Linked DNA regions of Xenopus tropicalis. The protein of the gene in region 2 purifies or fractionates together with the protein of the main gene of each other region. This does not show direct contact. Links are inferred from orthologs where the notes say so. Each region holds a gene or a part of one and is shown on either strand. Other genes may lie near its edges. The genes, in order: picalm and hip1r.

What was found.
Region 1: the proteins of hip1r (region 2) and picalm fractionate together in Homo sapiens (co-fractionation; 3 studies listed by BioGRID and IntAct, with this or other methods). This does not show direct contact. The link is inferred for Xenopus tropicalis from reciprocal best matches to the Homo sapiens genes HIP1R and PICALM.

What each region holds. Positions count from the first base shown.
Region 1 is NC_030678.2:171,683,553-171,696,235, forward strand, and holds part of picalm (phosphatidylinositol-binding clathrin assembly protein), read right to left. Parts: intron 11,954-12,683; coding exon 11,851-11,953; intron 10,660-11,850; coding exon 10,566-10,659; intron 7,706-10,565; coding exon 7,594-7,705; intron 6,794-7,593; coding exon 6,687-6,793; intron 5,555-6,686; coding exon 5,513-5,554; intron 2,519-5,512; coding exon 2,433-2,518; intron 799-2,432; coding exon 675-798; intron 435-674; coding exon of another isoform or gene 429-434; coding exon 298-428; intron 1-297. UniProt on the Homo sapiens protein: Cytoplasmic adapter protein that plays a critical role in clathrin-mediated endocytosis which is important in processes such as internalization of cell receptors, synaptic transmission or removal of apoptotic cells.
Region 2 is NC_030677.2:161,482,110-161,494,792, forward strand, and holds part of hip1r (huntingtin-interacting protein 1-related protein), read right to left. Parts: intron 11,733-12,683; coding exon 11,676-11,732; intron 11,352-11,675; coding exon 11,271-11,351; intron 11,170-11,270; coding exon 11,093-11,169; intron 10,947-11,092; coding exon 10,885-10,946; intron 9,722-10,884; coding exon 9,581-9,721; intron 6,587-9,580; coding exon 6,529-6,586; intron 6,115-6,528; coding exon 6,039-6,114; intron 5,918-6,038; coding exon 5,774-5,917; intron 3,457-5,773; coding exon 3,395-3,456; intron 2,806-3,394; coding exon 2,733-2,805; intron 1,999-2,732; coding exon 1,815-1,998; intron 1,409-1,814; coding exon 1,320-1,408; intron 710-1,319; coding exon 593-709; intron 1-592. UniProt on the Homo sapiens protein: Component of clathrin-coated pits and vesicles, that may link the endocytic machinery to the actin cytoskeleton. Binds 3-phosphoinositides (via ENTH domain).

The DNA.
Region 1 (12,683 bases), on a different chromosome or scaffold from region 2:
CTGCCTGGTAGCGAATATTGATGGGAGGGGAGGAAGAAAGGGGAGGGAGAGAGGAGCAAATAGAGCAGACTCATGCCCCTGCACTGAAGGATCTTTCTGAGAGCAGAAAGTCTGACACAGAAGAACATGTTGACAAAAAATGAAACAAGAAATCCTGTGTTTCTTTTGATAGAGGACTCTCAGTGCTTATGGCTGTATTAACAGACCTTTCTTACAAAGCTTTTTACCTTTCCTTCTCCTTTAATGAAACAATCTATAATCATTATTTTCTTCCAATGTGAGTTAGAAAGCTGGTACCTGTTTAGAGAAGTAGGGGTTGCAAACATATCGATAGCTGCCGTGGTATTTATACTGCCCGCTGTGGAGGACACTGGGGAGGAGGCGGTTGTGGAGGTGCTGTGAGGTTTCTTTGAAAGCTCTTTGACGCGCTGTTCCTGGGACACAGGAAAAAAGTGAATGGAAGAAAATATCCCGTAATCTCAGTCAGAAGCAGTCACACAGTATCCCAGATAGTACAAGGGAGGCACAGATTCATTATGTCCAGCAGGGAATGCTGGGAGCTCAGGTTCCTAACATCTATAGGGCCCCAGCTTGCCCATCACTGCACCTCTAATCCTAGCTCAGCCCAAATTCAATAGGGCCACAGGGGCCACATGATGGCCGACGCACCTTACCTTTAAAGCTTTCAAACGTGCCTGCTCTTCCTCCAGAGCCGCTTGTTTTTCCCTTTCGTCCACCCTGGTGAGCGACAGGCTCGTGGTTGCAAGTGATGAGACTGCATTTGAGAGAGTTGTTGCCCTATATTAAACATATGTAAACAATTACCCCTGGATGGCAGAGAACTGTCACACAGTGTCACTTACACTTTATACACACACTATTGAGTTATGGCTATTTATATAGCAACAAATACTACTAGGAAACATTGGTCCTGTCTGTAGTTAAAGATCACAATCAGTCCTGCCCTGCTTTATGGCTGAGATTCTAGCTATCTGTATAACAGAGCATTCTGTCACAGTGGCACAGATCCTATCTGATCCCCCCATTGTAAGCAGCAGTCCTGCCCTGCTTTATGGCTGAGATTCTAGCTATCTGTATAACAGAGCATTCTGTCACAGTGGCACAGATCCTATCTGATCCGCCCCCCCCCCCCCTTTCCTTCTACCATGAAAAGAAATCAATAGCCAAGAACACTGCCCACTATTCCTCTGTTTGCAAATAACCAGCCATACAAGAGCTCCGAAAGCTAAAATCAATTAGAATTCATGCATATTTCATAGAATTCCTTGGCAAAAATTCCACAGTGTGTTTTAAGCCAAGCGGGAAGGAGATACGTGGCTTCCTTTCAGCACTCCCTTCTGCAACATCCATCTAGGATTTAATGGATTTCAGCAGTCATTTTCCTGCTGGAGATGAATATTTTATCGGGTTATATAGGCAAGAAGGTAAGCGTAGAATGGGTACTGCAAATCAGCCGTGGCCTATCCCGGCAGTAGTGCTAAAAGGCAAGTCTTAATACAGGGATGACTATTACTGTCATGGGAAAACATGTTTGTTACAAACCCCATCAGTTAATAGAGCTTCTCCAGCAGAATCCTGCATTGTAATCTGTTTTTCCCATGGGGCTAGCCATATTCTTCATTTCCCAGGGTGCCACAGCCATGTGACCTGTGCTCTGATAAACTTCACTCACACTTTACTGCTGCGCTGCAAGTTGGAGTGATATCCCCCCCCCCTCACCCCCAGCAGCCGATCAGCAGAACAATGGGAAGGGAGCAAGATAGCAGCTCCCAGTAGGTATCAGAATAGCACTCAATAGTAAGAAATCCAAGTCCGGCTTGGGACTCCTCCAGTTACATGGGAGTAGGAGAAACAATAGGTTAGCTGAAAGCAGTTCTAATGTGTAGCGCTGGCTGAAAGCTCAGACTCAGGCACACTTTACTGCTGCGCTGCAAGTTAGAGTGATATCCCCCCCCCAGCAGCCGATCAGCAGAACAATGGGAAGGGAGCAAGATAGCAGCTCCCAGTAGGTATCAGAATAGCACTCAATAGTAAGAAATCCAAGTCCGGCTTGGGACTCCTCCAGTTACATGGGAGTAGGAGAAACAATAGGTTAGCTGAAAGCAGTTCTAATGTGTAGCGCTGGCTGAAAGCTCAGACTCAGGCACAATGCACTGAGATGGCGCCTACACACCAATATTACCATTACAACGTCACCGCTGGGCAGTTTTACACTATGGAGCCATTTGAGGGGCTGCAGAACAAAGAGCCAGGGAACCTGCTAATCCTGCTTCTACTTGAAAAGGAACAATATTTTCCCTGTGGGATATGGCGGCATACAATAAACTGTTAGCGGGTAGGAACATGAGGAAAGGGTGGGCCATGTACACTCTCAGCTAGGATTCTGGTGCCTCAGTGTTGCATACACATACCTGCTCGCTGCTGTCGAGTCTTTGATTTTCTTCCCTTCCAGCGAGGCTAAATGTTGTTCCAAAGCATCAAGTAGACTGCTAGGAGCCTGCAAAGACAGGAAGTCTAACCATATTATAGCAATAAAACCCCCTAGCACCCATTTATTTCATATTAGCAAGCAAAATATCAATTTGCAAATCTAATGTGTGCTATTAGTGGCACTGCGTTCTATCCAGAAATATTCCCATAAGGATATTAGCAGTCACTGAGGGGTTCTGTGCCCATATAAAGGCACAAGGCTGCAGGCTGAGTTATACAGGGAACTCTGAGTATCACTCATGTATTATAAGGGATAATGTACCCCCTACTGTAAATGATAAGGATATTAGCAGTCACTGAGGGGTTCTGTGCCCATATAAAGGCACAAGGCTGCAGGCTGAGTTATACAGGGAACTCTGAGTATCACTCATGTATTATAAGGGATAATGTACCCCCTACTGTAAATGATAAGGATATTAGCAGTCACTGAGGGGTTCTGTGCCCATATAAAGGCACAAGGCTGCAGGCTGAGTTATACAGGGAACTCTGAGTATCACTCATGTATTATAAGGGATAATGTACCCCTACTGTAAATGATAAGGATATTAGCAGTCACTGAGGGGTTCTGTGCCCATATAAAGGCACAAGGCTGCAGGCTGAGTTATACAGGGAACTCTGAGTATCACTCATGTATTATAAGGGATAATGTACCCCCTACTGTAAATGATAAGGATATTAGCAGTCACTGAGGGGTTCTGTGCCCATATAAAGGCACAAGGCTGCAGGCTGAGTTATACAGGGAACTCTGAGTATCACTCATGTATTATAAGGGATAATGTACCCCCTACTGTAAATGATAAGGATATTAGCAGTCACTGAGGGGTTCTGTGCCCCCCATATAAAGGCACAAGGCTGCAGGCTGAGTTATACAGGGAACTCTGAGTATCACTCATGTATTATAAGGGATAATGTACCCCCTACTGTAAATGATAAGGATATTAGCAGTCACTGAGGGGTTCTGTGCCCATATAAAGGCACAAGGCTGCAGGCTGAGTTATACAGGGAACTCTGAGTATCACTCATGTATTATAAGGGATAATGTACCCCCTACTGTAAATGATAAGGATATTAGCAGTCACTGAGGGGTTCTGTGCCCCCCATATAAAGGCACAAGGCTGCAGGCTGAGTTATACAGGGAACTCTGAGTATCACTCATGTATTATAAGGGATAATGTACCCCCTACTGTAAATGATAAGGATATTAGCAGTCACTGAGGGGTTCTGTGCCCCCCATATAAAGGCACAAGGCTGCAGGCTGAGTTATACAGGGAACTCTGAGTATCACTCATGTATTATAAGGGATAATGTACCCCCTACTGTAAATGATAAGGATATTAGCAGTCACTGAGGGGTTCTGTGCCCATATAAAGGCACAAGGCTGCAGGCTGAGTTATACAGGGAACTCTGAGTATCACTCATGTATTATAAGGGATAATGTACCCCTACTGTATGTAGCATCTGACATGGGAAGATGCTGTTTATAAGGATATGATTATATATATACAGCGCACGGGGTAATACCCACAGGGCAGACTATAGATCAATCTGAACAACCAGCAGCTTTGCCTTCCACACTATGTTTCTGAGGTTCCATAACAGATTGGTGAACACTAATTAATCCCAGCCTACGAGTTCCTGCCAAAAGCGAACATTAGGGATTAGAGGTTCCAGCTGAGGAGTGGGGAATGAATGGCCGCCTCCTGCCTGCTAAATATCTGGAATTCCTTCCAATATATTCTGCTCTAAATGTGCGTTTAATGGAATTGTAGGGATACTGACAGTATTCTATAGATCTCAGGACCATACAAACAGCTTTCCAGGACACATATATACAGGTTTTCCCTTGGGCCCAATACACAAGTGTTGGTTTAGACCCTCTCTGCCTGGAAACACATCAGAGCAGTATTAATGGGTAAAACATCTTCACTTGCTCCGCCATTTGCTGCCTGTGCAGCTGTAAAGCAGCCATTTGGGCAGATACTCCAAAAATGTTCTGTATGTGCTGGCCGGGCCGCTGGTGAGGGAGAATGGGATCCAGAAGGCATTCCTGCGCTTGGCTACACAGTGCATTATGGGAGCACTTTACTAGCAATCTATTAGCAGATCTAAAAATTTCTTAGAAAAATATTTTCCCATGAACCTTGTTAGTCCTTTATCCCTCTGCTCGTCAGTCAGGGCCAGCCTGTAGCAGATAAGGAGAGATATGCACGCAGCAAAGGGCATTTATTTGCCAGCATTTGGAACATACAGGTACTAGCATGGCCATAGCAAGGTCATGGGAAAATCCCAGCCCTAAATATACTGAACCGTAACCCCCAAAAGGAGAGGCACAGTCATGGAAACACAGGATATAATAATAAAGGGGAATCATTTTCCATACGCACATATAGTAAGGAAGAAAAGCTTTATATGAGGTGCTGGTAGCATGTCAGACGTCACCCATAGGAATAAATACTAATATGCAGCAGGAATTATACTTTGTAATCCTTTAATATGAAGATTATCCACACAGAGCAATGCCAAATAATCACCGTATTTGCTCTTCATGCTGCTACACCTAAGCATAAATAACATGGCAGCTCCTGTGTTTGTGCAGTGATGGGTTTAATGGAAACAATATGGCAGCTCCCATCCATCACACACACACACCTATCAACAGGGCTGCCATCAGGAAAGAAGGGGGCCCCATGCAACTAAGTAAGTAGTCAAGATTAACCCTCTGGTTACCTGGGTAGAGGGCCCTGCCAACAAATATAAGTCCCCAACCCCCCCCAATGTCCCACCCATGCTCCCCACAAACCCCACCCATGCTCCCCACAAACCCCACCCATGCTCCCCACAAACCCCACCCATGCTCCCCACAAACCCCACCCATGCTCCCCACAAACCCCACCCATGCTCCCCACAAACCCCACCCATGCTCCCCACAAACCCCACCCATGCTCCCCACAAACTCCCACCCAAGCCCATAATTGCAGTTACACAGGCTTTTGTTGCTCACCTGAGAGAGATCAGGTATATCTCCTCGATCGATCCCAACTTGCTGAAATTACAAACAACACTAAATGAGTTTAAAATATAAGAACATACAAGTGTGAAGCCACAGTGGTTCCTGTTGCAGGTTCAGGCCTTCCAGCTTTCCAATAGGGGTCACTGACCCCGGCAGCCAAACACTGTTGCTCTGTGAGGCTACAATTGTATTGTTATTGTTACTCTGTAATAGTTATCTTTCTATTTAGGCCCCCTTTTATTCACATTCCTATCTCTCTTTCAAACCACTGGCTGGTTGCTAGGTTAAACCAGACCCCAGCAACCAGATAGCTGTTGAAATTCTAAACTAAACGCTGCAGCACTAAATAATTCAAAAAATAAAAAATGAAGACCAATTGCAAATGGTCTCAGAATAGCATTCTCTGCACCAAAGTTTATTTCAAGGTGACCTGCTATTTGTCCGTTTTCCCCTCCATACTCAAGTGGTGACCATGGCAACGGCCAACTTTTTAGTTTTCCATAAACAGGTAGTGTAGCCTGGCACAGAGTCTGCCATTTGTACGGTTATTGCTAACGTTGCTCCCATAAACAAACCCGGTAAGATATACAAAAGCAAACATTCCGATGCACAGAAAGCCGCACACCATAATAGGGAACATTATGAATATAATAGCAGGCTTATAAATAGCGGGGCCGTGGGCGCCAAACACAGGCAGCCATATGCAATGGCCATGATTCCCCGATGAGTCGCAGGGACACAGGAAACTGCCGGTTACTGCCAAGTACTCCCAGTATTTCCCTTAAAGGGGCAGTGCAGCTTAAAGTTACCGCTTAGTAAGTTATAGAATGGCCTACTCCTAGCAACTTTTTTTAATCGGTCTTACATTTTCTAATTTGCTTTCTTGTCTCTCTTTCGATCTTTGTAATAGGGGGTCACTGACCCCCTCAGCCAAAACTATTGCTCTGTGAGGCTCCAGTTTTATTGTTACTTTTTATTCCTCATCTTTCTTTTCAGCCCCCTTATCTTTCTTTTCATATTCCAGTCTCTCAAATAAAATGCTGCCTGTATATTGGGGTAAAAAGCTAAATAATTCAAAAACCAAAACAAATAAAAAAAATGAAGACCAACTGCAAATAACTTATTGAACTAAATAAAGCCTTCCCAAGAATTTTACTAGACTCACCTCTGCTACTTTCAGGAATTCGGAAATCCGGGTCATCCGTGTCAGGAATTTCTTATAGATATCGAGGCCTTCTTTACACTGATTTTTCTTCATGTCAAAATATTTTTCTAGAGACAGAAAACAGCCTCGTTACATCAACCTCACTAATAAGGGGCAATTACAATAACAATTTCACAGAAACCCCTAATATCCCTATCCCTGTAATCTGTTCCTTCAAACAGTAGGAATAAATCCCATGTTTATAGGCTGAAATCCAGCTGCAAAACTGTTCTACTCTTTCTGCATCATTTGTAATCCTGGCAGGGGAGGAGGGACTAAACCACTGATGTTACAGATTGTAACAACTTCCCCACAGCTTACAGACAGCATGCAGGAACTACATAACCCACAATGCATTGCACTGGGATGTTCCTTTCCTTATTGACATCACGTGTGCAGCAGGGAATTGTGGGATTGGGAGGAGGCAGGCTGAGGGGAGGGGACTACTGTTACATTTTATTTGAGTCACAAAGTAGCCAGCCAGAACAGCAGGGGAACAGAGGGCGGGGCTTAGGGAACAGGGGGCGGGGCTTAGGGAACTGTTCCAAACCACAATATTACATTAAACTAGGGATGCATTGAATTTTTTGGATCCCGCCGAACCTCCGAATCCTTCTGGAAGGGTTAAATTTTGTTGTGCGTGCAAAAAAAGTTCAAGTTCCGTGTTTACATGACCAAAAGTCACATGATTTCAGTTTGAACCGAACTAAATACTGGATTCATTATTCAGTGCATCTCTACATTAATCATCATTAAAAGGCTGCATATTTTTAACTGCTGTATATGTATAAGTTGTGTTTGGCTTAAGTTCCCCTTTAAACGATGAAACCCAAGATGCATACAGCACCCACACGTTACTCATACTCACCTAACAAATTAATTATCCCTTCATTGTATGCAGCAAACAGTCGTATGGCATCTTTGAAGAGGAGCATAAAGGCAGCATTAATTACCCCGTTTGTCAGCTCGTTGGCATTAACCTAGAGGGACAGAACAAGGAAATGCATGAAGGCACCGTGTCATCTGTTAGTATGATGTACAGAGTAATATTCTCAGGCAATTTGCAATTGGTCTTCATTTTTTATTATTTGTAGTTTTTTTTTTTTTTTTTTTTAATTATTTCAATTATTGTTCAACAACTCTCCAGTTTGGAGATGTAACAGCTATTGGGTTGCTAGGGTGCAAATTACCTTAGTAACCAGGGAGTGGCTTGAGAGAGTGACTGGTATATGAATAGGAGAGGGCTGAGTAGAAAGGTAAGTAATAAAAAGTAACAATAAAACTGGAGCCTCACAGAGCAATCGTTTTTTGGCTGCCGGGGTCAGTGACCCAAATTTGAAATGTGGAAAGAATCAGAAGGTGACGGCAAATAATTGAAAAAAACTGAAATAAATAAATAATGAAGACCTATTGAAAAGTTGCTCGGTATTGGTCACTCTAGCATATTAAAGTTAAATTAAAGGTAAATTCCCTTAAATGGGGCCTATATTGACATTGCATTTGAAGCCTTGCAGTTCAGCAATCTCCTTCTTACCCGCGCACCAATGAGCTGTTACTGGAGCAAACGAGACACAAGACTAGAAAGTAGTTCCACAGCAGCGTCTGGAGAAGGTTGCGAGACAAAGCCCTATGGGGTATCCCTTTGTATATGGGGGACACAATTAGGGATGCACCGAACACCTTTTTTGGTTTAGCCGAACTCCTGAACCCACCCTGAAGGATTGGTCCGAATACCGAACTGAATTCGAAACCTAAAAACTAAGATCTTTTTCCTTCGAGGAACGCCACAATATCACCCCAGGGGCCCCCCTTCTAGCAAGCTGTGTATTCCCCAGGGGGTGCAGCTCGGACTCGGCCAGCAGGCTTGCACTCACAGGCTGACCGGCCATTTGACTGTAGCTGGGGGGGTTATTAGGCAGCTCCCAGTATGGGTGGGTGTCGCTGCTCAGACTCCCCTGGGTGCCTTGCACCAAAGCAAGAGATTGCAGTAACATTACCTTGGCTTTTCATTGGCACTGAGTGGAAATGTACAATAAGGAACACAAAGTAAGGACAGGATCCGTTCAGGTGTAAGTTGAAAGAGCTGTTATTTTCCTACTTAATAGAGTCTGTCTCCTGTTATCTCTGCACTGTAACCACATTAATAAAGCCACCAGTCTATGGAGTAGGAGCTGCTCCTGGGGGAGGCCACGTCTCACTGATTACAATCAAAAGGTTTTTGTAAACAAACAAAAAAAAATTACATGAGGCACCGGCATAATAAATAAAAGCTAATCTGCAAATCCAATGTTAAAGTGGGCCAATAAAAGCTGTTGGCTTGGCTTCTCCATGCAGTCTGCAGCTTATTGGTCCATGAATTGTGCCAGGTATCTACCGGGCAGGTTTTAAATACCATTTTTCAGTATGTTAAAGTGACACTGTCATGATATTTATGGGGCACTATTTATTTCTAAATGACACTGTTACACAGCAAATAATTCCCTTTGCCATTTAACCCTTTATTCTTGAACCAACAAATGTATTTGTAGCTGTAATATTGGTGTGTAGGCGCCATCTCAGTGCATTGTGCCTGAGTCTGAGCTTTCAGCCAGCGCTACACATTAGAACTGCTTTCAGCTAACCTATTGTTTCTCCTACTCCCATGTAACTGGAGGAGTCCCAAGCCGGACTTGGATTTCTTACTATTGAGTGCTATTCTGATACCTACTGGGAGCTGCTATCTTGCTCCCTTCCCATTGTTCTGCTGATCGGCTGCTGGGGGTGAGGGGGTGAGATATCACTCCAACTTGCAGCGCAGCAGTAAAGTGTGCCTGAGTCTGAGCTTTCAGCCAGCGCTACACATTAGAACTGCTTTCAGCTAACCTATTGTTTCTCCTACTCCCATGTAACTGGAGGAGTCCCAAGCCGGACTTGGATTTCTTACTATTGAGTGCTATTCTGATACCTACTGGGAGCTGCTATCTTGCTCCCTTCCCATTGTTCTGCTGATCGGCTGCTGGGAATGAGGGGGGGGGGGGGGGGATATCACTCCAACTTGCAGCGCAGCAGTAAAGTGTGCCTGAGTCTGAGCTTTCAGCCAGCGCTACACATTAGAACTGCTTTCAGCTAACCTATTGTTTCTCCTACTCCCATGTAACTGGAGGAGTCCCAAGCCGGACTTGGATTTCTTACTATTGAGTGCTATTCTGATACCTACTGGGAGCTGCTATCTTGCTCCCTTCCCATTGTTCTGCTGATCGGCTGCTGGGAATGAGGGGGGGGGGGGGGATATCACTCCAACTTGCAGCGCAGCAGTAAAGTGTGCCTGAGTCTGAGCTTTCAGAAAGAGCCAGCGCTACACATTAGAACTGCTTTCAGCTAACCTATTGTTTCTCCTACTCCCATGTAACTGGAGGAGTCCCAAGCCGGACTTGGATTTCTTACTATTGAGTGCTATTCTGATACCTACTGGGAGCTGCTATCTTGCTCCCTTCCCATTGTTCTGCTGATCGGCTGCTGGGGGTGAGGGGGGGATATCAGCCCCATGGGAAAAACAGATTACAATGCAGGATTCTGCTGGGGAAGCTCTATTAACTGATGGGTTTTGAAAAAATGTTTTCCCATGAGAGTGTTCCTTTACAAAGTGCTTAGAGATGCAGTCCAGAAACATCTGGGTATCCAAGGTTAAGAATCAGGATGTTACATAAATAAACGGTGTGTGTGCAGGCACTCAGTGTACCTATTCACCAGGCCGGGTAAGGGAACAACATCAGACAGTAGAATAAATACCAGGTCCCATAGGGGACTGAGCAGATGTATGGAGGACCCGGGGACCTTGAGACAAATGAGTAAAATACTTACATTGAAATCAAGCAGCGCGTCCATTTGGTTCTGTATAATGGGCATTGTCTTTAGTAGCTTTTCTGTACTCATTGTCCTCATCACTCCATCAGTCCTGGAAGGAAAAAAAAATTTAAAACCATCAGTCTAAATTTTCTGATACAATGAAATTTCAAGGCCCAATATAATGATGGTCTTTTTGGTCAATATTAAAATATAGGGGGGTCCTGTATCAACCACTTCCCAAACTACACAATTCTATGAAAGCAATGCTTTATGGGATCTATTATCCGGAAGGCTAAAAACCCAATATGGACGGATGAAGCTTAATTACAATCATGCATACAAGCTCACAAAACCTTTGCCTGTGAGCTCAGAATGTTCTTCTATTATTGTTATTTCTAATTGCTTATCTTTATATTCAGTATCTCTCCTATTCCAGTCTCTCGTTCAAACCAATGCCTGGTTGTTAAGGTAAACATGACCCTAGCAGCCAGATAGCTGCTGAAATTCCAAATGAAAAACCACAAAAAAGAAAATGTTTTGCAACTTGTCTCAGAATCTCAATGTCTGTGTCATACAAAAAGTTAACTGAAAGATGAATAACCCCTTTAAGGTGAAGACACACAGAGCTACTAAGTAGCAGCTACTTGTCACAGTTACTAAACTCCAGAAAATCCCCTGCCATAGACAATACTGAGAATTGCCTCTGCTAAACACACGTAGAGACAATTATCAGTAAAATGATCAGCATTCTCTGTTTTGGTAGCCATGACAAGTAGCTGCCACTAGTAGCTCTGTGTGCCTTCACCCTTAAGGCAATGGGATTGCTGGGCACCCACTGTGACCTACAGCACTTATATTTGCCTATTTGTGTCTGTAAGTTACCCTCCCATATAGATTGTAAGCTCTACGGGGCAGGGACCTCCTTCCTCTTGTGTCTTTGACTCTTAACTTATTGCAACTGTATCTTGTATTTATTTGTATTTATAGTTATACTTTGTATTTATCTATTATTATCTTAATAACCCCCTGTTTGTCTTAATGTATTCTACTGTACAGCGCTGGGTACATAAGTAGCACTTTATAAATAAACATATACACACATACATACATACTTCCATAAAGTACTAGCAACCTGAATCCCTATGTTCCACCGGCACTGCAGGCCAACTGTAGTGTTACTGTCACTTTAAATGGTTTTATCTCTCTTACAGCACAGGGTATCCATATACTAAACTATCACAGCATGGATTCAAGTTACACATAGGTAAAAAGGTAACGGAAATAATAATAAAATCCTTACCCTCTTTTTACTTTGGTGAAATCAAAAGCAACTTGTCTGTAGGAAACTGCCTTTTCATTCAAGTACCGACTGTATCGCCTAATAAACGTAGACATGTCGTATCCTAGGGGAAGAGAAGCCCTGTATTTAGTGTACGGCACACAGTATTATTGTATATTGTTATCAGTAACAATAATTCACATTCTATATATTATATATAAAAAAAAAAATTAAGGGCTGATTGAGAGGACTGCTCACTATAACTGTTCAAAATACACAACTTTATTTGGTACGGGACGGACAGTTGCATCATGTGATCACTTGCAGTTATTATGCAAGAAATGCACTTTATTTGCTTAAGGAAAGATCCCTGCACCTGTAAAAGGCATGGTATTCGGCTGCCATTACTTGTGGCAGGGACCCAACCACTGCTAGATGCATGGAGTGAGCACTAACATTCAGCCTGAAATTGTAGGATATCAATTTATAATATATAAGTCATAAAAATAAAAAAATCAGACCAGGTTTTGGCCATTGGATAATCCCCAGGCAACAATTGTATGAAAAGTCATGCCCCAGAAATGCACTGTAGGTCCCCCATGGATATTGTCAGATACACAATACATGTGCAGTAGTGATGTGGGGGCCGGCCCAACTTCCGTAGGTTTGCCTCTGCACAAGATTTCCGGGTTGCGGGTGGTTTTGGTTCTACTTGCTCTCCCCACTGGCGACGTGTTATGCAGATATCTCAGAGTATAAACAAGGAGGCATCTCCAGATGAAGTGCAAATGACTGATCAACAAAAATCTCCTTCAACACTGTCAGCTTCCCAGTTCCGGCTCTCTTATTTATAG
Region 2 (12,683 bases):
AGGCTTCTGTACCAGTTCATAGCCACCACAGCCATTTAGCAATGTAAATAGGAAAATGAGGTATTTTTCTAAAATGTAAAACATAGGCAGAATGTAATTTCAAGTCCTATACAGGTATTGGACCCCTTATCCGGAAACCCATTATCCAGAAATTCCGAATTACAGAAAGGCCATCTCCCATAGACTGCATTTTAATCAAATAATTCACATTTTTAAAATGATTTCATTTTTCTCTGTAATAATAAAAAAGAACCTTGTACTTGATCCCAACTAAGATATAATTAATCCTTATTGGAGGCAAAACAATTCTATTGGGTTTAATTACTGTTTAAATAATGGTTTTAGCCGACTTTACTTCGGAGATCCGAAGTACGGAAAGACCCCTTATCCGGAAAACCCCAGGTCCCAAAGCATTTTGGAAAATGGGTCCCATACCTGTATATAGTGCTCATTTTTACAAAGGTGTTTTAGGTGTATGCTTGGGTTACAAAGCTGGTTGCCTTCTATGTATTTGTTCTGTAATAAACGTTCAAGAGTATATATCTAAGATAGCTTAAATCACATTATTAACTAGAAAGCCACTTTAAATAACCTTCAAATCTGATTCTCGTTTCACTTGATCCATCTGAAATTCCAGCTCTTCTTTGATACGTGCCACCTCTTCCTGATTTTGTTGTGACACTGTTAACTGTTTTGCTGTATCAGCATTCTGTACAAAAAAAAAAATAAAATAAAAGATGGAAGCTTGTTTTGAAGTCCTTTAACAATAAAGTAAATGTTTATACTCCTTACATACATTAATGTTAAATTAACTTTACACCACCTTTTCAAATATCCACAATTTATTTAAATAAGTGAAATAAATAGGATCAATGCAGTGTTAATGCTCATGATTAGCTCAAGTGTTTGCATTCAGTTGTGTAATTCACAGCTCTATAGGATAAAAAGGCAATTTACTAATGTTGACCATCAAATTCACCCAGTTTTCAGTGGAAATTTAGTAAAACACTTCAGGGAGTTACAATGACTAAAAACATAATTATAAGGAATAAATAAATCCTATTTACACAATGATAATCAGGCAAATGAGAATTAAACAGATTAAAATGTATTAAAACATTTCTGAAGGAGTAGTTACAACTCAGTAAGCAATTTATTTTTATAACCAACAGAAAACTTTTCAAACAAGCATCAGTTGTGCCTTTTTGGAGTTTTTAATCAAATTACATTAATAAATAAAAATTATCTTTGTTATTTCCAAATTCACAAGTTACAAAAGGAGACAAAGAACAAATCTGATATAAAATAAAATTAGCTACCTTTCTAAGAAGTCCAGCGTGGGTATTAATGAGCTCATTGTGCTTTTCTTTCAGTTTGGTATAGCGTAACTCTGTGGCTTGTATCTTCTCTACCAAAACACAATTGAATGTATAATTTAGAAGTTCTGCATATTTTTAAAAAAAACCTGCCCACAATTGGCACACACATATTTAGTTCTTTATACATTTCAGTTAAAGAACACCTAAAGGTGGCCATACACGCTAAGATCTGCTCGCTTGGCGAGGTTACCAAGCGACCAGATCTTTTACCGATATCCCCACCTACAGGTGGGCGATATGGGGTTGATTTGGTCGTTTGGTCCTAGAACCAACGGGTATAGGCACCTGTTGGTTTGGGGACCACATCAACGAGCCAATGCGGTCCCCGAACCAAAATCAAACCTGCTCAATCGAGATCTGGCTGATTCGATTGAAGGAACCAATAACGGCCGCTAGAATCGACCCATGTATGGTCACCCTTAGCCGAATACCTACTCTCTGCTTCCAGGAGGACCCCTTGTGTTTTCTCATTTTCCAGTTTCTGTTTCTTTAGCTTCTCCAACTCATCCCGCAACTGTTCATTATCTACTAAAGCCTTTTGTTTCTGCTTCCTCTGTTCCTCTAGCTCAGCCTCCAATGTGTTGATTTGTCCTTTTAGTTGCAAGATGTACTTTTGTGCCTAATGAACATAAAAAAGAAAAGTTTGCTAAGATAAACATTTTTAGTATCTTAAATAAAATGCACATTTTATGGAGACAATTATCAAGCACAGCAAAAGACATGTGCCTTACAAAGTAAGGATACTGTACATAGGCACTGCATACCAAGCTTATTGAAGCTTATACTTAAAGGAACAGTAACACCAAAAAAATAAAAGTGTTTTAAAGTAATTAAAATATAATGTACCGTTGCCCTGCGCTGGTAAAACTGGTAAGTTTGCAACAGAAATGCTACTATAGTTTATATAAATGAGCTGCTATGTCAACACGGGGGCAGCCATTGAAGCTGGGAAAAAGGAGAAAAGGCACAGGCACATATCAGATAACAGATAAGCTTTGTAGAATATAATGGGGTTTATCTGTTATCTGCTAAGTAACCTGTGCCTTTTCTCCTGTAAATGGCTGCCCCCGTGGCTACACAGAAGCTTTATTATATAAACTATAGTAGTCTTTCTAAGGAAAACACACCAGTTGTACCAGTGCAGGGCAGCATTACATTATATAGTAATTACTTTTATACACTTTCATTTTTTGGTGTTACTGTCCCTTTAAGAAAAGCAAAATAAAAATATATCCGTTGTAGTATTGTTGTTGTTGTAGTATTATAATTATATCTCTATGAGCTAAAAAGTACTGAACAATTTACTAATATTCTAATTCTAGCATTAGCATACTAATTAAAGGATAGTCTCACCTCCAGCTTTATTTTCTCTAGTTCAGCACGTAGTAATTCTATTTCCTTTTGCAGATTTTCAATTTGAAGATCCCTAAACATAATAAAGAGATTATTGCAATACACAAAGAAAGCACAAAATAAAAATCCATTTTACAACAAGGAAAATTATGCAAACACAGCCAACTAGGTCCTTAATATGCAATATATGTAATAAAGAGAAGGAGAAGTCATTTAAAAACTTATAGGGCAGTGCTGACTTTTTCTACACAATAAGCCAACTATCTAATATGCAATATATTGCAGACCAGACTAAAATAAGGTTATACTATAAAAAAGTCTGTTGGGGTATAAAAATGCCTTGAACGGTCATATCCAGAACACAGGCTTCCAGCTGGACTGATGTAGGGCAACACAGCTGAAAATATGAAAAATATGAAGTATAATATTTAAATCAGGCTAAACAGTTCTATCCTAAAAAAAAAAAAAAAGAATAAACAAGCAGATTACGCCAGCGTGTAAATCTTTTTCCACTATGAAATGTTTAATTATAATTGTAACTTTTTAAAAATGCTAGTGTTATCTCTTGTATTTTTGATTAATTAATTTACATTAATTTAACAGTTATAACCCCTTGTATCAAAATGATAAACACTGTAAAATGTAAAAGATTTTTTTTTTACCTGTCATCTTTCATAAGACCATTAGGAGCACCAAAGGTTTGCTGAAATAAGTCTTCCACAACCTAACAGAAAGAAAAAAAACTGCAGTATATTGCAACGGTCAACGTGCCAAAGGTCAAAATCTGGTAATATAATATGATATAATTTAATCAGATATCAAAACTAAAGGTAAAAAGTTAAATTGTGCCGTACAATTTTTGTTTTTGTCTCCATTTTTATATATCAGTGTTTTGACCCTCATTGGGGTCTTTATCAAGAGGGTTATAAAAGATCAAAATGAAGTTTTAAAAGTTCTTTTGCAAAGTCCCTTGAGCGCAACAGCTTCTTTTTGAAATACAGTTTGTGTTGGCACCAGGGCTGTTTCCCCTTTTAAGGTGTGTGCAGCTGTCCCACATCTACTGTCATACGGTCCTGCTCCGCTATATACTCGTCATTCAGTTACTAGCTGTAATAATAAAACATAGCTTGCACTTGATCCCAATTAAGATATAATTAATCCTGGTTTTTTTTTTGTTTGTTTTTTTAGAAGACTTATGGTATGGAGATCCAAATTACAGAAAGACCCTTTTATCCAGAAAACCTCAGGTCCCAAGCATTATACATAACGGAACCCATTCCTGTACTGGGTTAGTGAGGTCATGCTTAAACAATTTGGCACTAAAACTTATGCTAGGGTATTTAGAGGCACCTTGAAAAAGGTCTGAATATGTAACCAAAATGTTGATTCTAAAATAATAAAGGCATTTGTTATTTTGAAGCATGTCCTGTGAGTGCTACGTAAATTATGTGGATGTACACACAAACACCAGTGATGTGCAAGTCAACTAATTGTCAACCTGCCCCCGATCCTAACCTGCCCACTCAAAACCCACACCCAACCTAGCCTGCAGGTCTGCATCCATTTATATACGAGCGCCTGACCTGTCCTATCTCTGATGTTACTGAGGAGGCGGAGTGCACCTATAGATAGATGCCCCTGGATGCGGAAGCGGGGCCCAGTTAGGTCACAGGCAGGGAGGGCAAACCTGAATATGTTGTGCTCGTGTTGGGCCAAATTTTTTTTCCTGTGGGGGGTTTACCCGGTCTGCACAATACTATTACACACACATTATATTATATGTATGAGATCCCTTGTCCAGAAACAGAAAGGCCATCTTCCATAGAGTCCACTATAAGCAAATCTAATTTAAAAAAAAAAAAAAAAAAAAAAAAAAATTTCCTTTTTGCTCTTTAATAAGAAAACAGTACTTTGTACGTGATCCTGACTACAATACAAAAATCCATATTGGTTGGGTTTATTTCACATCTAAATGTAAGCAGACTTAGCAAATAATGGAAAGACTACTTACTCTGAAAATCTTAGGTCCCAAGCATTTCAGATAATAGATCCTATACTTGTTTATATATTATAAACCTGTGCAGTATAGTAGTGATGTGCGGGCTGCACAATATTGTCAGGTCATGGGAGGTTCAAGCTGAGCTCTACTTCAACCCACCCCACACGCAACTCTGCACTGCTTGACTTCTGAAAACCTCTATTTCTAGATGGCATGCCTGCCCCATCCCACCCCTCTTTGTGGTGTCAGAGATGGGCGGGTCAGGCGCAGGTCTATAAATAGTGGTCCACTGTCAGACAGGGTTTGGGTTGGGAGCGGGTGGGTTAGGGTCGATTGCAGTTCGACCCCGTACAAGTGGGACACAAGGGATACCTGGGAAAATAGGGAAAGATGGTGGCGTGGCACTTAGAGAGAACCCTGGGCTAGTAATTTTTTCCCCCTGAAGAGAAAAAAAATTAGTGAATTAAATTTAGTACCCCCTAATGTAATAGGCTTTATTTAGATTTTATTTTGGATATATTACAACAGTGCTTAAAAACAATCATGTAATAAAAAGGAAACTACATGTTATTTTTTTTTTTTTTTAAGTTTAAAAGAAATAGTTGAGGGATGTGTTGTATTCAAACAAGTGGCTCTTACAGGTAAACATTAAAAATATACAGTACTGTACAAAATTCTCAAACACTCCAGATCACAAAAATATTTCTCATACATGTGTTCTGTGTGTCTTGGGTCAATGTGTTAATGTAAACAGCAATAAATAGAGAAAAGACACATGCAATAGTCATTGGTATTACTACAGCCTTATGCCTGCTTTTGGTATTAGTTGTTTAAAAAAAACTGCCTGAACCCCCACTGTTAATAAAATACAGTTATCTCTCATTCTACAGCCTTAAATCACAGTCAGTTTTGGCATAATCAAGAATGTCATTTAATTCAAGGTATAAGATGTATTTGGCAAGATAATTGTCCTGGCAGTGAGCAATGATGGAGTTATTGGGGAGTGTATTGTATTTCAAAATAATAGAAAGAATTCAGTTACCTGCTCCTGCTCCACAGGCTGAGCTGCGCTGATCTCAATCAATGATTCTGCTGGCTCCTCATCTTCTGGAGTTTCATTGGGGATAACAACCACTGGTTTAACATGCTCTGCAAGGGCAGAGGCTCGCAAAAAGTTGGGTGGACCCTGATTTAAAAAAACACAAACATAGTTATGTCAATTTATGCAGACTAGTAAGCTAGCTTGCTTCTATATGTAATAAAAAAAAAAGTCCACTGTTGAAGTCACGACGATCAGTAAAACTTACATCAGGAAGACGGGGAATCTGAATGAGCCGCTTGAAGTACAGCATGTCTGATGCCCGTTTGAAGAAGTTTTTTAAACTGGAAAATATAATAACCCATAATATGCACTGTAATTCATTTTTTTTTTTTTTATACAGGTATAGGACCGGTTATTTAGAATGCTCGGGACCTGGAGTTTTCCAGGTAAGGGGATCTTTTTACAATTTGGATGTTCATTCCTAAAGTCTACTGAAAAATCTTTTAAGTATTAATTAAACCCAATAGGATCATTTGCCTCCAGTAAAGATGAATTATATCTTAGTTGGCATCAAGTACAAGGTACTGTTTTATTATTACGGAGAAAAGGGAAATCATTTTTAAAAATCAAGAATTTTTTTTGCTTATAATGGATAGTATGGGAGATGGCCTTCCCATAATTCACAACTTTCTGGATAAAGGGTTTCCAGATAATAGATCCTATACCTGTATGTACTTTCAAATTTACTTACATACCTATGAAATTGTTCATGAAATCGGTCTCTATGTCCCTGTAGAGTATCAGGAGGCAGACCTAGATTTAAGAGTAGAATAAATAATACATAAGGTATATCTTTGAATAAAGATTAAAAAACTGTTCAATATATAAACAGGTCAATGTATTTGTATATAAAATAAGTATTTAAACCCTGCGATTTTGCAAGTTCTCCCACTTAGAAATCATGGAGGGGTCTGAAATTCACATTGTAGGTGCATTCCCACTGTGAGAGGCAGCATTTAAAAAAAAATTCAGGTAATAACATTGTATGATTTTTAAAGAATTTATTTGTATTGCACTGCTGCAAATAAGGAGATTTTGTGATACTCACTGTTAAATCCTTTTCTCTCAGGATGTCTGTGGGACACAGGGACCTTGGGGTATAGTATCTACCAGCAGGAGTCAGGACACTAGAGAGGAAGAAGAGTGCGCAAGCCCCTCCCCTCCCTGCTACTATACCCCCCTTGGCTTCCTGCCATCCTCAGATAACGAAAAACGGAAATTACTATATACAACTAGGCAGATAGCATTCCATGTTGGCCGCTTCCAGGGGGGGAAGCCCTGTGTCCCACCGACATCCTGAGAGAAAAGGATTTAACGATGAGTATCACAAAATCTCCTTTTCTCTTGCAGGTGTCTGTGGGACACAGGGACCTTGGGGACATACCAAAGCTGTCCCATTGTCTAACGGGTGGGCAGAAGCGGAACAATTGGTGCCTTATAAGACTGCGGCCTGTAGTACTTTTCTACCGAAGTGAGTGTCAGATGCTGCAAACACCTCGAAGCTGTAGAATTTGGTGAAGGAGTGAATGGATGACCAGGTTGCTGCTTTACAGACCTGATCGGCTGAGGCTCTATTTCTGAGGGCCCAGGAAGCGCCCATGCCCCTGGTAGAATGAGTCGTGATCCTCGGAGGTGGCATTCTGCCCCGAGCAATGTAAGCCCTGCGGATAGCTTCCCTGATCCAGCGTGAAACGGTGGATTTAGAAGCCTGGAGACCCTTCCACGATCCCGTGGGGATCACCAACAGGGAAGAAGTAGATCTGATTTCTTTGGTACGGTGCAGGTAGAATTTGAGAGCCCTGACCGGGTCTAAGGAGTGCAGTGCCACTTGCTTGGGAGACTTCGGTCGAGGACAAAAGGAGGGGATGGTAATGTCCTGGTTAATGTGGAATGAAGAGACTACCTTCGGAGTGAAGGAAGGAAGAGTCCGCAGGACTGCATGGTCCTGATGAAATATCAGATAGGGCGGCTGACAGGATAGAGCACTAAGTTCGGACACTCTACGGGCTGAGGAAATGGGCAGTAGAAAAGTAGTCTTCCAAAGGGAGGTGATTGTAGGGCTGAAAGAACCAGGTTGAGGTCCCATGGAGGTAGGGGATCTCGAAATGGAGGGTGTTAGTGAGCTACCCCTTGAAGGAAGGTGACCACGTCAGGCAGAGACGCCAGGCGTTGCTGAAAAAGCACGGAGAGTGCCGATATCTGAGACTTAAGGGAGCCCAAGGAGAGACCCTTGTCCGACCCTGATTGCAGGAAGGAGAGAAGTCGAGACATGGAGAAGTCCTGGAGCGGATCCCGTGAGGTCGTCACTGAGGAGATGTTGCGCGGTAGGAAGGAGAGAGGAGAGTGAAAAGGGCACAAAGGAAGCTCGCCAAGAGGAGCAGTGAATATCGCGTGAGCTGGAGAAAGGGCCACGCGTTCCCTTAGGTGTTTGGAACGCAAGCGGTGGAAGGCATGGGAAAATAGAAACGGTATCGCTGAAAACGGCCAGGCAGGACTAGGGAGGGAGTCGTGCACCTACATATAGCTATGGGCAGTACTGACCAGGCAATGGAGGTGATGTAGGCAGGTTCTGGACAGCTTCTGTACTCCTTTTAGAAGGAGCCAGGGTATCTGTGTGGCCGTTCAAAAGTGTGGCTGGCCCCAGTGCCTAATGTGCCACAGAGGGGGAAGCCTGAACAGGAAACTCCTAGTGGAGGTCCTAAGGTCGACCCCTTGTGCCAGACTGAGTCTGGCCGAAGAACAAGTCAGTGAGAGTAAAGGTCCTGTCTCCTTGAGGGACACTAGAGAAAAAACTGAGGATGGCAGGAAGCCAAGGGGGGTATAGTAGCAGGGAGGGGAGGGGCTTGCGCACTCTTCTTCCTCTCTAGTGTCCTGACTCCTGCTGGTAGATACTATACCCCAAGGTCACTGTGTCCCACAGACACCTGCAAGAGAAAAGTATTTGAACACCTGAGAAAATCAGTGTTAATATTTGGTACAGAAGTGGGAGAACTTGCAGAATCACAGGGTGTTTAAATACTTATGTTCCTCACTGTACATAATAGAATAAAGGTGCATACAGTCCAATTGTAATGTTAAAACCCACACACATTTATATAAAGAATGGATGCCCATTGCCATTACTACAGTCCCACCTCATATCCAGGAACATTTTAGCAACTCACAAAGGCAATTCTGCTTGAAGTGAAGGGAATAGGTGCATATATTGAAATATATCTACAATATAGTCATATACTGGTGAGTGGCCAATACAGCCATAAAGCATTTTTTTGACAATTTCTTATTTGACTTAAACTTTTAATAATCACAATTTTTACTACAAACCTATTAATGGAGGTGATATTAAAAGATGCTTTGTGCACCAGAGAAGCTTTTTGGTGCTTCCTTTTTATTGGTTGACTGTCAGGCTTTCATTGATTCTGTCTGTATTTTACTGGATGGATGCCAACAAAATGGACTGCAAAGGGACACCTAAACCCAAAAAGTCTGAAGACCTCTAGTCTAAGCATTCCACTGACTGGAATGAACAGCAATTTCCAACTTTTACCTAGTAACATTTGCTAGCCACTCTTATTTCTGCTGCAGATTGCCTTGTACATTTAGCTGAAACATAAATATAAGTTAACAATTCCTCTCACATTTAACAAATAGTTTTTTTTTTCATTACACCAATTAAACGCATTAAATGAAGTTCAATTAATGATTCAGAGTTTTGCTAAATATTATTATAGCAGAAGGAATACTCACATGAATGGAGTTTAAACATCAGCTTAACAGTGTAATGGTAGAGATGGCTGCAATCCTGAATGACTTGAATAAGAGGGGCCAGCTTACACTGTCCTGCTGCCATCTGAGATACAGCGATTGAACTATTAAGCTGCCTGAAAACTAACAAAAAAAAGATGTATATTACAACATATTCTGTTCTGTAATCTATTCATTTGCTACACATTTTTCTTGTGTATCCCCCCCAATGGGGTAACCAGTATTATATATACCATCTATTCTGTAATTGTGATGCAGTCCACTATGTAGCATAGTTTCCAGTCACACACTGCACATATACTCTAGCAATAGGCCCCACCAACTCCTTTGGCATACTGTAACATGTAGCCTTTCCCCCCTGCAGCCATAGTGAATGGCACACAGAAAATCTCCTTAACCTATTGTGTTTTAATTTCTGGTTCTCTTTGATCAATGCATTCTGCATGTTGCCAGTAAACATGCGGCTTAAAAAAAAAAACATATTGTATTTTTAACTGCTTTAAAGGAGAAGGAAAGGCTAATAAAGAGTTAATCTCAAGCTGCAGGCATACCTTCAGTTCTTTCAATAGTGCCCTTAAGTCTCCCCATATTTTTCCCATTCAGATGAGCTCTGTAAAGACCAGTGAACATGCTCAATGTGTAAGACTATGAGGAAGCTTCCTGCTGATTGGCTCAAATCACACATTCCTAAGGGGGGGGGGGTGAGTTCTTAGCATTCTTGATGGAGGGGGGAGCAGGAGAAGGGAGAGAGCTGCCTGTCTCTGGCACAGGAAAAAGTGTCAAAAGAAACAGGATTTGCTGTCTGGGAAGTCAGTGCAGCGTTTCTGTGAGTGCTTATGGCTGTATTTACATATACCTTTCTGATAAAGCTTACTTAGTTTTTACCTTTCCTTCTCCTTTAATAATATATTCATCATATTCTCCCTTAACCTTTTTTCCACTAATTTACACAGTAGAATTATTGTGGTATAACTTCAAAATCATTGTCTGAATTGTAAATGTATGTCTTTTTTTTTCTTGCCTGCATTAGTTTGAGTTGCGATGTGTAAAAGATTGCTGCTTTACATTGTGGATTTTTAGAATAAATCTGTCATGTGATGACTTCTGGTCACAACGCCCAATTGCCCTATACAAAGACTTGCAGCATCAGCAGAAAATACAATACCTTGTCTAAACAATTTTTTTTGAGGATTTAGAAAAAAATTAAACTTATTCAGAAGGCAACATTTTTTGGGAAAAAAAGTCTGTACTGCCGCTAGAATAACTGAACCAGATCTTTTACCTACCAGCTTCAGCAAGCTTCAGTTCACAATCCATATAATCGAACATTTCCACTGTAAGCTGAAATCTAAAACGAATTAGAAAAAGGAAATACAAACACCTGGTAACTTTGCAGTAAAAAAAGATTTGTTTAAGTATGTAAAATGAAAGACAAGAATACTAACACATTATGCAATACTAATGATATGTTTGAGGCAGTAAATACCAGCGTACATGTTGTTGACATCTGTGCCAGCGGATTTCTCAAGAACATCATCAGTCACTTCCAAGCCCGGTGGAAATTCTGGGTGCTTGGGAAAAAATATGCCACAAGTAAATAGACAAAATACATTGCAAAGACTAAGTAGGAAATTAAATGTGTGTGTAGGAGTATGAATACATAAAACCTTACCTTTACATGAAAGCTTATTTTATTAAGCAAAAGCTTTGTATAAATATTCACAAGCTGCCCATAACGATCATGCATATGACCCTATAGGAAAAAGAATGAACATACAGAAATGTGCAGCTTTTACCTTTGCAACAGTGACAATGTTGATAAATCCTTTTAGCTAAGCACACACAACTTAGTGTAGATTGACACCATTTTATTATTTATTTCTTAGAGTTGTTCAAATATGTAACTATTTAAGAGTTCATGAACCAAACATTTTACTATAGCTATAACCAACACTCATGCTGTGAGTTGCTGACAGATATCACCAGCTCTTAAGCTGACCATAAACATACATATTGTTCAAAACAAAGTTTCTTTGGATTCAGCTGTTACTTTCCCGTTTCCCTAGTTTATACTCACCCACAGCTCTCCTGTTTCTCGAATGTTACTGCGGTATCGCTGACAATCTGACAGCACCTACAATTCAACTGAGCAGTTAGAAGACTAACATATTAAAACAAAACATATACTATGGCAATAAAGGAACGCACACAATAAAAAACCCTTATGACAGTAACTTCAAAGTTGAATGTGTGTAAATACATATAGCTTCCCTTATTCCCCTTGTTTAAACCTTTGTTCAAAACGGTGCAATGCAGCATGATAAAATAAAACAATCCCCTAATTTGGACAGTTGATCTTTTTATTAATATTATAATTGATGTGAATAAATTTATAATCTCAGGTAAGGTGCAATATACAGAACAATTATTGCATTTCAGCCAAAAACACAGATTAACGTTATTACCAAATATTTATAAAGCATCATATTTATTTATATTTAATCTGAAGAAATCTTCAAGTTTTTTTAGTGCAGGGGTGATTAATGTTTTAATTTCAAGGGGAAAATCCCAGTACATAGGGGAAAATAATGAATATATGGTATTGGGATTTTATTAAACAAGGGGTGGGATTGTAGAGAGGTTTGAAAAGAACAGATCAAGAGGGTTGTTAGTAAGGTAAAAAAACCATCTGAAAAGTATTCAGATGGCTGAACAGCTAGCAGGATGATGCTGTGTCATGTAATTTTTAGTTGTGTCAATTCTGCTCAGAAACATCTTTACATTCCTACATTTTGCATTAAAACAAATAATTGCATCTGATTCCCTATACAGAGAGCCCGCAAGTGGTGTAACCCTAGCCTTTGTGTGGGGCAGTAAGAAAAGGGAGTAAACCAGGTAAGAAAAACCCCTGGGAATGCCTAACTTCTTCACCCTGAACTGCACCACAGGGGACCTGGTGATTAAAAAATGCAGAGTAGCACAGAGGGGTCTGGTGGGTGCCATTTTTGCACCGCTTCAGGTCCACTTCTCTGAGCCACAGAGCAGGAATGTTTGAAGCCAAGTCCAAAATTAATTCCACTGCACA